Linked DNA regions of Oryzias latipes. The protein of the gene in region 2 binds, or shares a complex with, the protein of the main gene of each other region. Links are inferred from orthologs where the notes say so. Each region holds a gene or a part of one and is shown on either strand. Other genes may lie near its edges.

Evidence for each region.
Region 1: stk25 (region 2) and strn share a complex: the UniProt entries of both Homo sapiens proteins name them as parts of the core of STRIPAK complex. The link is inferred for Oryzias latipes from reciprocal best matches to the Homo sapiens genes STK25 and STRN.

Annotation. Positions count from the first base shown.
Region 1 is NC_019873.2:28,013,734-28,020,916, forward strand, and holds part of strn (striatin), read right to left. Parts: intron 6,503-7,183; coding exon 6,370-6,502; intron 6,298-6,369; coding exon 6,144-6,297; intron 5,524-6,143; coding exon 5,413-5,523; intron 3,487-5,412; coding exon 3,343-3,486; intron 3,275-3,342; coding exon 3,141-3,274; intron 1,586-3,140; coding exon 1,410-1,585; intron 1,253-1,409; coding exon 1,205-1,252; intron 1-1,204. UniProt on the Homo sapiens protein: Calmodulin-binding scaffolding protein which is the center of the striatin-interacting phosphatase and kinase (STRIPAK) complexes.
Region 2 is NC_019875.2:5,712,472-5,720,149, reverse strand, and holds the start of stk25 (serine/threonine-protein kinase 25), read right to left. Parts: upstream 4,902-7,678; 5' UTR 4,041-4,901; coding exon 4,011-4,040; intron 2,436-4,010; coding exon 2,205-2,435; intron 2,092-2,204; coding exon 2,035-2,091; intron 1,912-2,034; coding exon 1,803-1,911; intron 698-1,802; coding exon 540-697; intron 393-539; coding exon 207-392; intron 1-206. Other genes in the region: mitochondrial fission factor homolog A, read left to right, coding at 6,311-6,524, 7,262-7,440. UniProt on the Homo sapiens protein: Oxidant stress-activated serine/threonine kinase that may play a role in the response to environmental stress.

The DNA.
Region 1 (7,183 bases), on a different chromosome or scaffold from region 2:
GAAATACAACAACAATCTAGAAGTGTTTTGAAGAAATCCATATTAATCTGACACAGTTCACATACTGTGGATATTTTTAGTGAACATATAAACCAGAGAGATCGTTAACAGCATACGGTGTTATAAGGAGAAGCTCTAACAAAAATTAATAACAGATTATTGTCTTTCCCAGAGGGCGTCTCAGTTTGGCCACTAGGTGGAGCTCATGCTGCAGAATTCCACTTGATTCTAGAAGATTGAGCCAAAAAATGTTCTTTAGACCAAAAATGGTTACTTTGAAAGAAAAAAAGTGTCCTTAAATTCCTGCCTGTGAGTTTATAAAGCTGTTTAGTCAGCAATGTGTGTTTAGGTCAAACAAGCGTTAGCATTAGCCGTCCTATGGGAATTTCCATTATACGTTAGCATCAAGCTAGCTTACTTTGGCTTTACTCCTGTTATGCTGTTAGGTCACTGGAGAAAGAAAGGCATAAAAGATCGATCTCTTCTTTTATGGATCGATTGTTGATCTGCTTCTAAGCTTGGATCAATTCAGACCGAGTTATTGTTTTTTTGTTGTTTTTTCAAAGCAGCCCAGGCCTTTTGTCTCCATACAAATAAGAAAAATATCATACATTTCAGGAGGAGAACGATCAGATTCTCCTTCCCGTCGGTTTGGACTCCACCCAGTGACCCCATCATCAACACGCCACAGGCCCAAGCTGAGCAACAACCAGCTGCTAGCTCTCTCAATGCGTCTGCACAATGACCATTCACTGTATAAGAGAACCGGACTGAGTGGCTCCGCCCCCCCTGACATTCCAAACAGGAAGTACCCGCTGGATCCAAGTAGCCAACGACGTCTATAGGGAAACAAACACCTGTTCCTCAGTCATTCTGGCTCTGATACCTTTTTTTTTTTTAAACGTGATGATGACAATCCTCATTTTTTGTAACCGCAGCTCCGCCCTGTTTGGCTGCAGTTCCTGCTCATCTTACAGCAGATGTTCTAGTCTTTTTGTTTCTCAAACCGCCGTTTTCCACGTTCACACTTTGTACAGTTAATTGATTCTATAATCTAAATACAGCTTAGATAGTTGACCTTTTGGGGGGGGGGGGGGGGGGGGGGGTCTGGAATGACTTAGATGATCTCAAATGTAGTTAATCTGTTGTTTGCTGTTTTTTCTTTGTTACATTCAGAACTTGGATACTAAAATGAGCTTTTTACCTGTGTGCCCTGAAGGTGTAGACGGGTTCCACGTCCAGAGATGTGCTCCTGCAGACAGAGCATTCATTACTATGACAGAAAACAGCAGCACTCACGTGGGCAGAGCTTTCCACGCACGAAGGTGGAAAACACAGATTTTTAAACCAAAGCTCGGCAAACGAAAGCAGAGATGCTCCTTTCAGTCGTTCAAGCAGGAACACATTACTTCTTGGCGGGAGCCGTCTTCTGCAGGTTCCACATCTTGAGCGTGTGGTCCTCCGAAGCCGTGACGAGGACGGGTTCCACGGGGTGGAACGTCAGCGCCCGGATCCCGTCGAAATGACTCCGCAGGGTGAACTTGGGGTTCCACGTCTTCCTCATCGCGTCCTTATTGTTGCCAATCTGAGAAACAAAGCGGAGACGCTCAGCATCCAGGTCAGACAACAAACAGATTTTTCCTTCCACTCTGTGTTTTCAAATGTTTATAACTAAAAAAACAAAAACGAAAAGCAAGAGGACTCTGACACCGTCACCAACAGAAAATGAGAGTTTAACCGCTGTTAATGTATTTTATATTTGCACTTCATGAAGCTGCAGAACAAAAATAAAATCAATTACACAAACAAAACTACTTGTGCGGGTTCATCTAGACCAGTGTTTCAACCTTTTTTGAGCCACGGCACACTTTATCCTTGACAAAAACCTAGCGGCATCCAAAAAAAAAAAGAAAAAAGAAAAAAAAAAGGAAAAACTCAGTCTGTATTGATTTACAGCCCCTCCATGATCTCACATGCATTTTTGTGACAATTGTGGCAGAAAAAGCTGGAAGCTGCAGCTGTTTTTTCTAAAAGATGTAATAAAAGTTAATTTAGAAGATTTAAAAACAGTTTTATATGTGTTCGTTGTGGTTTCAAGACGTTTAACAAAGAAAGGCTCATTGTGCGCTGAGACACTGTCACTTTAACTCAATGCATCATGGGAGATGTAGTGCAAACAGCCGCCAAACGCCAGACAGACTAGCGTCTCTGAGCTTCATGGTTTTGTTCACTTGTTCCACAGTCTGATACCGTCATTCTTATCAAAATGCCTTTAATAGAATCAAATAAACAGAAATAAACATATTCCTAACTACTCAGTGTTTTATCAGGGCCTCAACTCAAAACCTTCGGATCACTTCATCTATGAAATCAGTTCATTTGGGGGGGGTTTAGAGTTATTTTACACCATTCAAATTTGAGAATTTTAACTTATTTTAACTTTATTTATTCATTCCCTTTTTTATTTTGACACCGGCATATACACCATCCTTTCAAAATAAAACACATCCTGTGTGCCAAATAGGATCCTTTTGCTGCAGCAGTTTTGGTTTAAACAAAGGCAAGAGAGTTTGGCGAATCACTGTCATCCTTTTTCTCCTCTTACTATCAAATATAAATGTGATGAGATCAGTGTAGAATACAGCTTTTTTTAATTTATTTTTTAGAGAATCTTTAAGAACTTCTCTAGACTCTGTTGTGCAGCAGAAGAAAAGAACATGTTGAATCTTAAACCACTCTGACAGCAGACTGAACTTTTTACCATCACTTCTCTCAGTGATGTCATAAATGTGTACATAAATGATAAAACAAAGTTAGCAAAAACAAACAAACTAAAACTATAATTTTTTATATTGCCAGGATAGAGTAATAAAGGAGCTGCTTGTGGCTCCAGAGCCTCAGGTTACAGATCTAGAACATTTTAGATCTGTAACAATTTATCTAATAGTGTCAGGGATGAAATTATTTTGAAAAACAATTTAAAATATTATGTGATGAATAAAGAAGAAAAGGTCCAGGTGGACTGTTACTTTCATAGGGGTAAAATGGCTGAAGAGATGCTATTTTCCGTTGTCTGGTTGACCCGCTAAACGCAGACTTGTGAACGATTCGGGCCGGAAAAACCGGAACAGTTCACTCACATCGTATGCCAGACTCTCGACCTCGTTGGCCACGGTGATGCTGGCCAGCTCCCCGAGTCCCAGGTCGCTCTTCATAGCTTCGTCTGCGCCCATAATAAACGTCCCTGAGGTGGGCGGGAAAGCAAGGGTCTCCACTGCGGAGAGGAAACCTGATTATAACCAAAGTTCAAACAGAAAGGGGGCGGCGGTCTTTCTGAGGCACCTTCATCCGGCCGGTTTCCCTCGTGTTCGTTAAAGCGGGGCACGCTGGGTCGGGGCTGCGGGGCGGACGGAGGCTGCATGTGAGGCATGTCCTCGCCGTCCCTCAGGTTGGCCAGCATGTCCTGCAGCTTGGATCGGTTGGGTCCTGTTCACAGGTGGGGTTACACCGGTTAACAGAACCAACACATACTGATGGAGAACGGAGACGAGAGAAAAAGAGTGCAAACAAGCTGAGAGAAAAAAAGATGAAAAGATGGAAGGACTGGGAAGAAAGAAAAATAGATAAAGTTTGAAGAAAAGCAGTGAAACCTACTCAAAAGGTACATTTGCCTTTAAAGCCGCTGGTGTGGAGAATCACTGTAGTCTAAACCTGAATCTGTACGTTTTAACTGCCATCCTTTCAGAAGTGCGTGAGACAAAAACTACGATCCGCTCAGTCTGTCCTTTTGACACACTTTCCTCCGGCTCAGAGCTGTTGCTAAGCAACCAGCAGAGACCTAGGAAAGTTTCCTTGTGATGCTCAACAAACAAAGGTGCAATTGGCAACACAAAACTGTAAATTCCAGCTTATTTTTTTTTTAAATCTAACAACAGTTTTAGCAATAAATAACAGCAGTTAACGGCTGGTATGAACACGGCGCAGAAATGGATTATGAGGAGCTGCAACAGACAAAAATCGCAGGAACAGAAACTCTACATGGTGTCGTCCGAACACCCACAAAAAAAAAAACCACACACTCTTGGGGGGGGGGGGCTGTGTAAACAGCGTAGAAGGAAGGTGAGAAAGTGAGTGTTGATGTCACGAGCAGTCGCTGCAGAAGGAGAGCGGAGACTGGGTGTCAGAAATGTGAAATCTGTGGGCTGCTGAATGAGTCATCCATGCGGGTCACAGGAAAAGCTCTGATTTTGCTATCGAGCGGCAGAACATCAGCGGCTACACGACTTCTCCACGCGAGCCGAGCCGACCGATGAGGACCACGGCGGCAATCACAGAGCTACTGTGGCACGGCGGTCTGATCTTTCACGGTTAGCACGATGACGTGAAGATGAGAATAAGGCGATGAAAGACTGAAATGAGGCATGCACCAGGGTCAACCAAAGGGCAAAAGAAATCCTGAGCACAGATGCAGGTTTTGAAGGCACCGGAGAGGTCTGAAGAATGAGATGTGAAGAGGACAGAGAAGCAGAACGAGGAGCGGCGACAGAAGAAACTCAGAGAAAACAGTGAAGATGCTCCAATTTGGATTTGAGGCTGGTTTCTCAGGAAAGTAAAGCCTTAGTCACACTGGGGGGCTTGACCTGTACGGGTGCTGTGAGGCTTTCGGCTTTCGGGTTTCAGAGTGTTCCCAGTGCTCTTTTGATCAGGATTTTACCGTTTTTAGCCAAAATGAAAAAAGAAAAGAAACCCGTGTCGATATTTAGGACAGAGTTTCAGAGTTGTGGGCGGGAAAGTTGGCGTGGAGCAACCCAAACGAATGCATCTATAGACCCTTCGCCTGAGAATGGAGCAGAGCAGGGAGCTTGTGGCCCGGCGAGCAAATTTTCCGTCAAAAATCTTTTCCAAACAGCTTTTTTTTTCCACAACGATTTGATTAAAGAAATACTCAGAAATGCAAAGTTTTTGTAGAATTTTCTTTATCTTGCAGCTTCCTTGAGGCTCGTACAAGGACCTCAAGGGGCATCATTAAAACGGGACGTACCATTGTCGTGTGTATGTGTGGCAATAATGTAAGTTACACACACTTACAACCTACAGGTGATGCTGTCCTACAGTGTCGTCACGGCACATTCAAGGTGCCAGTACAGTCTCCTTACTAATTGTGCATAAGTGCTGCACACACTGGGTGATACAGAAGTGTTCATGGGATGTCCACACAAACTACACTCTGTCCATTTTCCTCCTGTCTAACGGCCAGACTGCAGCAGGTATTGACGGGTGCCACCCGTACAGGTTTGACCATTTTTCGCCCGCAGGAAGCCCGTCTCCACCCGCAGGTTCAGTTGTGACTAAGGCTTTAGGCTCTGCAGAATGAGAAGAAGCAGGGAGGCAGCAATACCTAGCAGGACTTACTCTTAACCCCCTTTTTCCCCTTGCGATCCTTTTTGTACTGTTCCTTGAGCTGGGTTATCAGGCCCGGGGCCACGTCCCAGGCCTCAGAAATGGAGCCTTGCTCGTTCTTCTCTACACAAGGGGACAAAACCAGACCGACAGGCTGTTGAGAAACTGCCCTGGTCCTTGCAGACAGAGAGCTGCAAACGCTCTGAGACTTTCAGATTCAAATCAATTTCATAAACGAGGAGGGCGGAGCTACGGGCCTCTCCTGACCCTCCTCTGTGTTTTCTTTCTGCTGGCAGAAAGAAGGAGGTGGATTTGAGAGAGGTTTGTGTCATGGTGGGGAATGTCTGACTTCAGCTTTTGAGATAAAATTGTCTTTTGTGGCTAAAGTCAAAGATTAAACCCAGCATGACATCAAGCTGATTGTTTTGACTCCAGCTAAAGACCAGCGAAGCTCAGAGGGGATCTGGGCGATCTGACGACAGACGAGTGGAAACATGTTGGTGTCACAGGCTGGACTTGTGAACATACAGTGGAAGAGAACACAAACTGCGTGTTAAACAGACACATCATGACTTATGAGCACAGAATGACACATGAATGACGGAACCTCACCAGCAGTCAACAAACTATGAGTCAAAACTTCCCAAATTTAAAAGATCAGCGGCCGGAGTTGGAATGAATCCTTTTCTCGCTGAAGGGGTTTGGATTTATCAGTTTGTGTTCGTGGTCAGTCTGTGACTCACCCCAGTCCGTCCCATCGCCGGTGCCTCTGGACTCAGAAGTGTCAATCTCATCGGGTCTGGACAGGAAGTCGAAGACCTTCAGCACGGCGTTGGTGTCGGGGTCCTCACTGGTGTCCATGTTGGTCGATGAGGGAGGAGGCTTTTTCCTCATGATCTAGAGGCAACACAGCCTGTTCTCTAACAGCACTCCCACTGCGTGATGCAAAGATGAAAGTGGCTTCCTCACCGTCCTGGATTCTACGTTGGTAACTCCCTTTCCCTCGCTGTCCTCTTCCTCATCTTCATCGCTCAAATCCTCTGCATTCTCAATAAAATTGAAGACTTCCAGCACGGCGCTGGGGTCAGACAGCTCAGATTTCCTGCAAAGGAGCCACAGATCGTTTCATTTAAACCACCATCATAGACTCGCCATATCGAGCTTTAGATAGATGCTAGTTTTTATTTTTTCTGACGAGGATTCCCAATTTGAAGAACAAAAATATCACTGGGAGGTTCAGCAAATGGCCATTAGAAACTTTTTAAAAACATTTCAACCAGCAGAAAATACAAAAAAGAAAAGCTGTCTTGATTGAACTACGATAAGTTTGTACATTTTTAACCATCTTTTCACGAAAAATGTTGAATCCTGTTGCATAAAAAACACGTGACTGCAGGTATTGGAAACAACGGAGAGCTTCCTTAAACTGAATTACACCTCTGAAACATTAAAGAACGTCCCCTAAATGCAACACTGTATAATCATTTATTGTTGTCATTGGAAACGATGAAAATCGCAATGATGCGTGATACAATGACCGCCGCATGGCGTGGAGTCTCTCTCTGTTTGATGGTTTTTGTTTGTTATTTGTAGAAGAAAAGACTGCTGCAGCCGCTTTAGCCGTTAATAACGTGTTAATCCAGTGTCAGTAAGTGGCGCTGTAACTCCTGACAAAATAAACAGAAGAAGAAGAAAACATTTGTAGTCCTTTGCAGAATTCGAGCTTTAACATTTCTTTTTCATTAATATAAACATTTTAAGAGGCTATTATTGTTTTTTAAAT
Region 2 (7,678 bases):
TCCTCGGCGTGCGTTAAATTCAGATTATGCACACTTGAAGGCCATTCTCCCTCATTTACCAAATGTCTCTCTTTTCCTCCTACATGACTTGGATTCATACATAAATGATCCGTTTTTTCTGCTGATGGTTTAAAACAACAAACAAGGTTTCACTAGAGCGCCATCACATGACAGAAGGTTGGAGGTGAAAATGCAGCTTCACTCACAAAACGGGGATCCTTGTTTAAACAGGCCTCCACAAACTCTTTAAACGGTTTGCTGTACGGCCCTTCCAACGTGGGAGGAGTGTTTTTAGGGATGAGGAACAGGACCCTCATGGGATGTAGGTCAGAGTTGGGGGGTTCCCCCTTGGCCAACTCGATGGCAGTGATTCCCAGAGACCAGATGTCCGCCTGAGTGTAAGGAAAGGTGAACCAAATGAAGCTTTTCCAAACAGAAATGAATTCAATGGCTGTTTCAAAAGCTCAGCATTCCTGCGCCCCCTCCCAGACAGGTCAGCACCACAGACGCTCTTCAGCTCTGGAACAGACTTCCCTCACCTTAAAGTCGTAGGCCGACTGCTTGATGACCTCTGGAGCCATCCAGAACGGCGTGCCCACAAACGTGTTCCTCTTGATCTGCGTGTCCGTCAGCTGTCCCGCCACGCCGAAGTCTGCCAGCTTCACGTCGCCTTGCTCTGACAGGAGCACGTTGGCAGCTAGGAGACAGACGTCAGTCACTGCCGTGTCCACTAACTAGCTAGAAAGACCTGCAGCCTCGGGTCAGGACGGCTAAAGAGGCACAACTAGAGGGTCACATCAATTGGAAGACAAAAAGTCAACACTTCAAAACAGGCTTAAGCATGATTCAAGTCTAAAAATATTGAACATTTGAAAAGAAATGTTTTTTTTTAATTTTGAACCTTCAATTTAAAAAACAAAACTTTAAAGCTTAAACTGTTACTAAATGAAAAATATTGTTTATTCATAACAGCTGCTGTTGTTTTTGTTTTCTTTTTTTATTCTTTAATTTCCGTTTTACGTTTAGAGTTTGAATTCAGACGTTCAGTCTTTTCTGCTGAACCTGAGTTAAGGAAGCTCATTGGCTGTCGTGACATGATTCCCATCAGCTGAAAGCGCTTCTGGTGCTTTCAGCTCTAAACTGGAACTACAAACTTTATAAAGAATATTTTTCATTTGGTAATAATTAAAAGTTTTTTTATTCGAGTTTCAAATCTTCCATTTTTCCCCCTCAAACTTTCAATCATTCTGGCACAGCGAGAGGGGGCGGTGCCAGAGGGCGGAGCTGTCAGAGGGGGCGGTGTCAGAGGGGGTGGTGCCAGAGGTTTTTATGTAGTTTTATGTATTATTTTAGTAGTAAGTTGTTTACATTTTTTTTTAATGGATGAATGTTGCACTGACCAGAAGGCACTTTTAATTTCATTGTATGTATGACTTTGACAAATAAAGATCCATCCATCCATCCATCCATCCTGGTGTTCTTGTGACTCTGATCTGTGTGTAGGTGTGGTTTTGAGTGTGTGTATCAAGCGATTGGAGCGTACCATTTAAGGGTTTTTTTATGTTTGGGAGACTTTTTGAATTTGTACTTAGTCTGAAGTTGATGTCATTTCAAGCTGTGCCTGCGTAAACTGTATTTTGGATTTGAACGTTTTTGATATTCGTTTACAACAGCAAGTACCCTCAGTTAAAGACAAAATGGATGGGTTACAAATCCAGAACCAGCACACACATTGGGTGAGTCCATTTCCCCTCCTGACAAGTTTCCTGGGTGAAGATTCTCTAAGTGGTCTTCCGTTTTACCTTTGATGTCTCTGTGAATCTTCCTCTCGGAGTGCAGATACTCCAGCCCCTTCAGGATTTCCCGCAGTATGGTAGCGATGTACGTCTCCTCCAGAGGTCCTGGGCGGAGCTACGATGACGGCGGGTAAACCAAGACATCAGAAGTAGGGCGAGAGAACCGGCAGGCTCTAAAAGTAAGCAAGGCGGCGTCTTGTGTAATTTGTAATCTCCATAAAAATGGAAATCTTCTTACCAGATCCAGAGCAGATCCTCCACCTAAATACTCCATGATAATCCACAGCTTGGTCCCCTGGGGGGTGGGGTGGGGTGGGGGGGGGGGGGGGATATACACAGTAGTTCAACTGTGGGAAATAAAAGCCTTGCTTGCAGGTAAACAGCAGGCAGTTGCAGCTTTTCTCTCACCTTGAGGTAGGACCCGTAGTATTTGGTAACATAAGGACTGTCACACTGGCTCAGCACTGTGATCTCTTGTTGGATGTCCTCTATCTCATCCTCTGCCTCCTCCAGGTCAATGATCTTGATGGCCACCACCTCCTTAGTGCGGTTGTTGATGCCCTTGTAGACCTCTCCAAAGGAGCCCTTCCCGATGCGCTCCTGCTTGGTGAAGTACTCCTCCGGGTCCAGGTGGGTGTTCTGGTGGAGGGTGGACAGAAGCAGCACCGCTGGCTGTTAGCACTTCCTTTCAAACAAGCATGCAGACACAGAAACGCTGCCTGCAACACAACACTGCTCCCTCCGTCACGGTTCATTTCGTTTCTTTTCCAACACCAGCTTTCAGGCGTGTGATCCTCAGCACTGCCAACTGCTGCGACAGCACCGAGAATTGGACAAGAACACGGAAAAGAACCCAAAGTATTTATAAAAACACGCAGGTCACACGTTACACCAGGGGTGAGCAAACAGAAGGCCGGACCAGGAGCAGATCAGTGCGGGGATAAGGTAATCCACCCCATGAGACAAGAGAAATAATATGGAATTTGGACAAAAACATGCTATAATTAGGATTCAAAAATAATGTATATATTTTAAACCATGATATCTTGGGGGTTTTTATTTGAAAACTGCGACTTTTTATTTTATTTTATGCTAATTCCACGAGTGGGTTGATGCCCCCCAGGGACAAACTCAGAGAAATGCTGCGTTCATGTAGTGTTGGGATGGTCGGAAAAATGCCCGTCCGACTTAGAAAAAAACACGCATCGACGTCAGAAAAACCGCAAACCTTCCAACAACTCGTGAATGCACAAACTTTTTAAAGCAAGGTCGACGTCTCTGTAGAGCAGCGTTTATGGGGAGACGGCGTGTAGCAGGGAGCCTCATCCAATAACTAAAGGAGCTGCATTTCCAGAAGAAAACGCAGGCTTGAGTCTATATTACTGAATGAAAAGGAAAATTAAAGGGTAATAATTGGCAAAAGAAATAAAGAAATAATCAAAGTTGACCATAAATAAAGTAAAAACAGCACAATAACAAAAGATATATTTTTCAAAAAAATGCCAGAGCCGGTATCGAACCAGCGAGCTTCTGCACCAAGGATTCCCCATGAATTTCAATGGAAGATCCTGGAAATCCTGGAATATCTTGAAAGGTTCAAGGATTTTAAGGACCAAAGTGATAGGTGGATAAAGCTGAACATTTGAATAGTTGAATGGTTAAAATAGCTGAAAATGTGTTGGGGTTAAGCACCAAAAGCTGGTGGAAGATACTAGAATAAAGAAAGTGAAACAGGAAAACAATGGGTTCAACCAACTAGGATGATCTATATGATCTATTCCAGTAAAAACGTTTAATGGGCTGCATGCTGCTTCATCATCAACGAGGTGAGATGAGATCAGTAACCTGCATCTGCGTGACGACACTTCCGGTTTCCAGGAAGAGGCTTTACTGCAAAGCTAAAGGCAACAGGTGCTGTCCAGGTAAAAAGAGTCCATGCGGACGTGAAGGAGAACTGTACAGTCTGTGCACAGGTGGACGGAACAGCCCGTTTACACAACACACCTGCATTCAAACCGGGATGTCATCCCGCATAAAAAACTGATTTATAAAAAACATGGACTTGAGAACTTTACACTTGTATCACCTGTTAGAACACGATTACAGGTGATTTATGATCGCAGAGCCAGAGCTACATGGTTTTCCTGAAAAGCCCAACTGTGAGGGGTTCGGGTCTAGGACAGGAAGGGAAGTGAGGTGATAGGTTCTCCCTACCTGGTTCTGCATGTCCCGAAGGTGTGCCATGGTTCTGCCGGTCGCGGGGGCAGAGCGCCAGCTCCGGCTCTTCTGCCCTGCCAACACTCAGACGGCCTTCGAGCTTTTACCCCTCAGCTCGCAGCTGTCTGGGAAACTAGCTAGGAGGCTAAGCAGCTACACGAACAGCCAGCCTGCTGCCTCGAACGGGGCTGTCACTCCGAAAACCGTTTTTGGCCTTCGAGTTCACCGGAGGACCACCCCGCCCGGCGAAACGACGAGCTACAGACCGAGACGCTCCATGAATGTCCGCCGAGACACGCCGGGCGAAAAGAACCCGCTCCGTCGGAATAAATATTTAATTTATTTTTAGGAGGGCTTAGCCTGTTGTTCATTTGAAGCTTGAGGAGGACACAATAACGGCCCACAGCGATTGCACATGCGCAGTGATCAGGAAGTAGCCAGGATGATGGGACATGTAGTTTATTTTGCGTCCCTGTCACACAGCAATTTACACAAGAGATTTGTTTTGTTGAGTGATTATTAATAAAAATTCATGTTTGTTCCTGTTAAACTGTTAAGTTTCAATGCTAGATTATTTAAAAAATAAAGGTCTTTTTAAAGTGCAGCTCGCGGTTATTAAAACAGCACCGATTAAAAAGCATCTAAATTGTAATAAAAAAGTGGGATGTTGCAGAAACTGTGACGCAAACGTGTTGCTGGAGCAGTTATGCGGACAAGGAGAGTTAGACAAAATTGAGAGACGGTCATGAACTCAGGATTTCCCTCAGCAGTTCCTCTGGCATACATTTACGCAGAACAATGCAAATCATAAATAAAAAAAATCAACACTGACTAATAAAAAGCGACATGCATTAAAGGAAGTTAAGACTGCGGAAAAAAAGACCCGCCATGCAAATCAAACGATGAGAGGAGTTTCTGGGTGAGCGCGCGCGTGCAGCTCTTACATAAATGTCGGGTAACTTGTGTACGGTCGTTTTGCTTAACCGACCGGCCTGCTTGCGGAGCCTCTCGTGCAATGATTGTTAAGCTCCGCCCCTGTTGTCAAACTCGAACATCGTTTGGCAGCAACACCGACTCTCGCGGCGTTTGCGGCTTTTTCGGTTGTTTGCTGTAGCTGGAGCGGAGCGTTTGGAGCAGCGCCGGAGGCAGCGGTGCTAAAACCCGGGACGGTAAGCTTTCAACGCGTGTCAGGCTGAGGCCAGGCCGGTTTATACCCAGCTAACTCACGGTGATTACGTAACACCGCCCCACCGGCGCCTCACAGACAGACCGTTCTTTTTTTAATTATTATTAATTAGCGGGGTGTTAGCTTAAACCTCAAAATGGCGCCTTTTCTCCGTTTGTTTTAGTGACATTGGAGGCGCGTGCCGGTGACAGCAGCCTCGGCTGTCTTACGTAATAACCTGTAACCTGGTTCCGCCGGTGTCCGCTAACAAACGCACCTTCAGCTGCAGTTAGCCCGCGCCGCGTTTCGGTCCGAGCACGCACGCTTCGGGTTTTTTGCTGCTCCTGCATCAGGTTAGACCCGCTTGGGTGATCTTTATTCAACAGCGGATATAATAATCAGGATTTGTTTGGCATGAGCGGGACCCATGTAAACGAAAATCAAACGAACCCGCTCGGTGTGTCTTGGCCAGAGCGGCTCTGTAGGTTTAAATGGGTTTAGATCAGCCTCAAAGAGACGTAACGGAATGTTATCAGCAGGTCAGAATTTAGGAAAACCTCCGGAGCTCTTTAGATCTAGACAAGTACAAGTTTGCACAAAATACATCCGGACATTATTGGCTGAAGTAGAACTATCCAAACATATGTAACAGTTAAAATGTATGGAATAAACCACACATTTTTTTTCAACATAAATTCCTTTTATTTAGAGGAAAGAAAACAAATTGAATTGCCAGAAAACATCACACATCTAGATGTTTTAATCTGCCTTTTATGCTGTCAAACGAATTTTTTAAATCAAACATTTGGTGATAAATTATGAGCAATGTTTCCTATCTTATGGTCAAAATATTTTTAAAGAAAGGGTTCACTGTTGATGAAAATGTATAATTAGCTTCTTCAAAAACAGTAAATATTTCTTGTTTTCTGAAGAGTGAAATCAGCTTTGCTGCTTCTTTCTCCCACTACTTTTAGCTCTAAGCATCTCGTCATCCCAGCATCAGTTCCTAAGCTGCCTGTGGCTGGAGACACACAAGTGAGGGGAGGGACGGAAATGAACCACAATAATGAGGGGGGGGTTTATTTGCTCCAGTGACGTCACCAAGTGCTCTTCCTTGATGCTTGCAGGCCGGATGAGTGGGCCGACCTTCATGTCCTCTGGTGAGGTGACTGAAATAAGCCGCATCCACTATGACCTGGAATACATGGAGGGCATCAGCCAGCGCATGCGGATACCCGAAACCCTCAAAGTCGGCCCGGAGAGCTCCGCGGGGCGCATGCAAGCTCAGGAGCCGCCGCCGCCTCATTCCACTTTGATGCAAGTTCCTGAGAGAATTGTTGTTGCAGGTGAGTCGTTAGTTTTTTGTGCAGGAGAAGCGCACCTGGGAAGTCATTAAAGTGCCTCTCCGGTCATCTTTTGATCAGTTTTCAAACGTTCCTAGTGGTCTTTTCTTGATCATTACGTCGTTTTTAGCAAAAATCCCAAAACTGTGTTGCTTTCTAGGACCGTCTCTGCAGAGCGGCAGGAGTTCATTCGAAATTCACCTCTGAGTTGTGGGCGGGGCTGCTTGTGGGGAATAGGCGTGGCCTCACTTCCCATCATCCCTTTGTTAACAGTCTCTCCCACAAGCTTACAGCCCCTCACAACCCCAAACTAATGGTGCCAGTGCAACACAAATGGCAGGAACATCGTAGCTATCCATCCGTACAGTTTAGATCCAGATTCCTGTTCAGACCAGGAAAACAAAGACGTCCATGGATCTATTGGTCTGCAGGAGGATGATCAGAATGGAGCAGAGCTGGGAGCTTAATAGCCCCGCCCAGCGTATTTTCCACACCACAAATAAACTCCTTTTCAAACGGCTTTTTTTCATCTTGGGCTCCTGATTCACAACCATTTCATTAAAGAAGTACTCAGAAGTGTAGGTTTAAGTTCTTTATGTGTCTCCTCCATCATGAGAAAAATTCCAGAAGAACATGTTGACATTTTCAGTGGGTCTGTATGAGAAGCAGCTGAATGAGCAACATGCTAGCCTGTAGAGCTCAGCAGGGGTCATGACCTTCTTTTTCCACTTTGTCTGCAGGCGACGATGGAGACCTGACGTTTCCTCGTCCCAGGGACCTGGATCTGATCCAGTCAGTTCCCCCTGCAGACCTCCTGAACATGAAGGCGCCGCCTAACGTCCTCACGCTAACGGAACAGCCCCTGGACTCTCTGGAAACAGACCAAACTGCCAACGCCCAAAGAAACTCCAGTAACGCGGTAAGTAAGACCCACAGAGGCTCCTGCTGTGTGCAGTCAGAACTTCTGCAAACAACACCAAGTGGAAACGGCAGACAGAAATGTCAGACGGCCGTCGGTTCCACCTGCTGCTAAAGTCAGAGCTTCTCTTTAGAGGAGGTCAGCCTTCTGTGGAGCCGAGCTTTGGTTAGAGGTCCCGTATGGAAGCGATTGTGTAGCATAATTAAAAATAAAAGTCAAAACCAGAAATGCTTTTTCA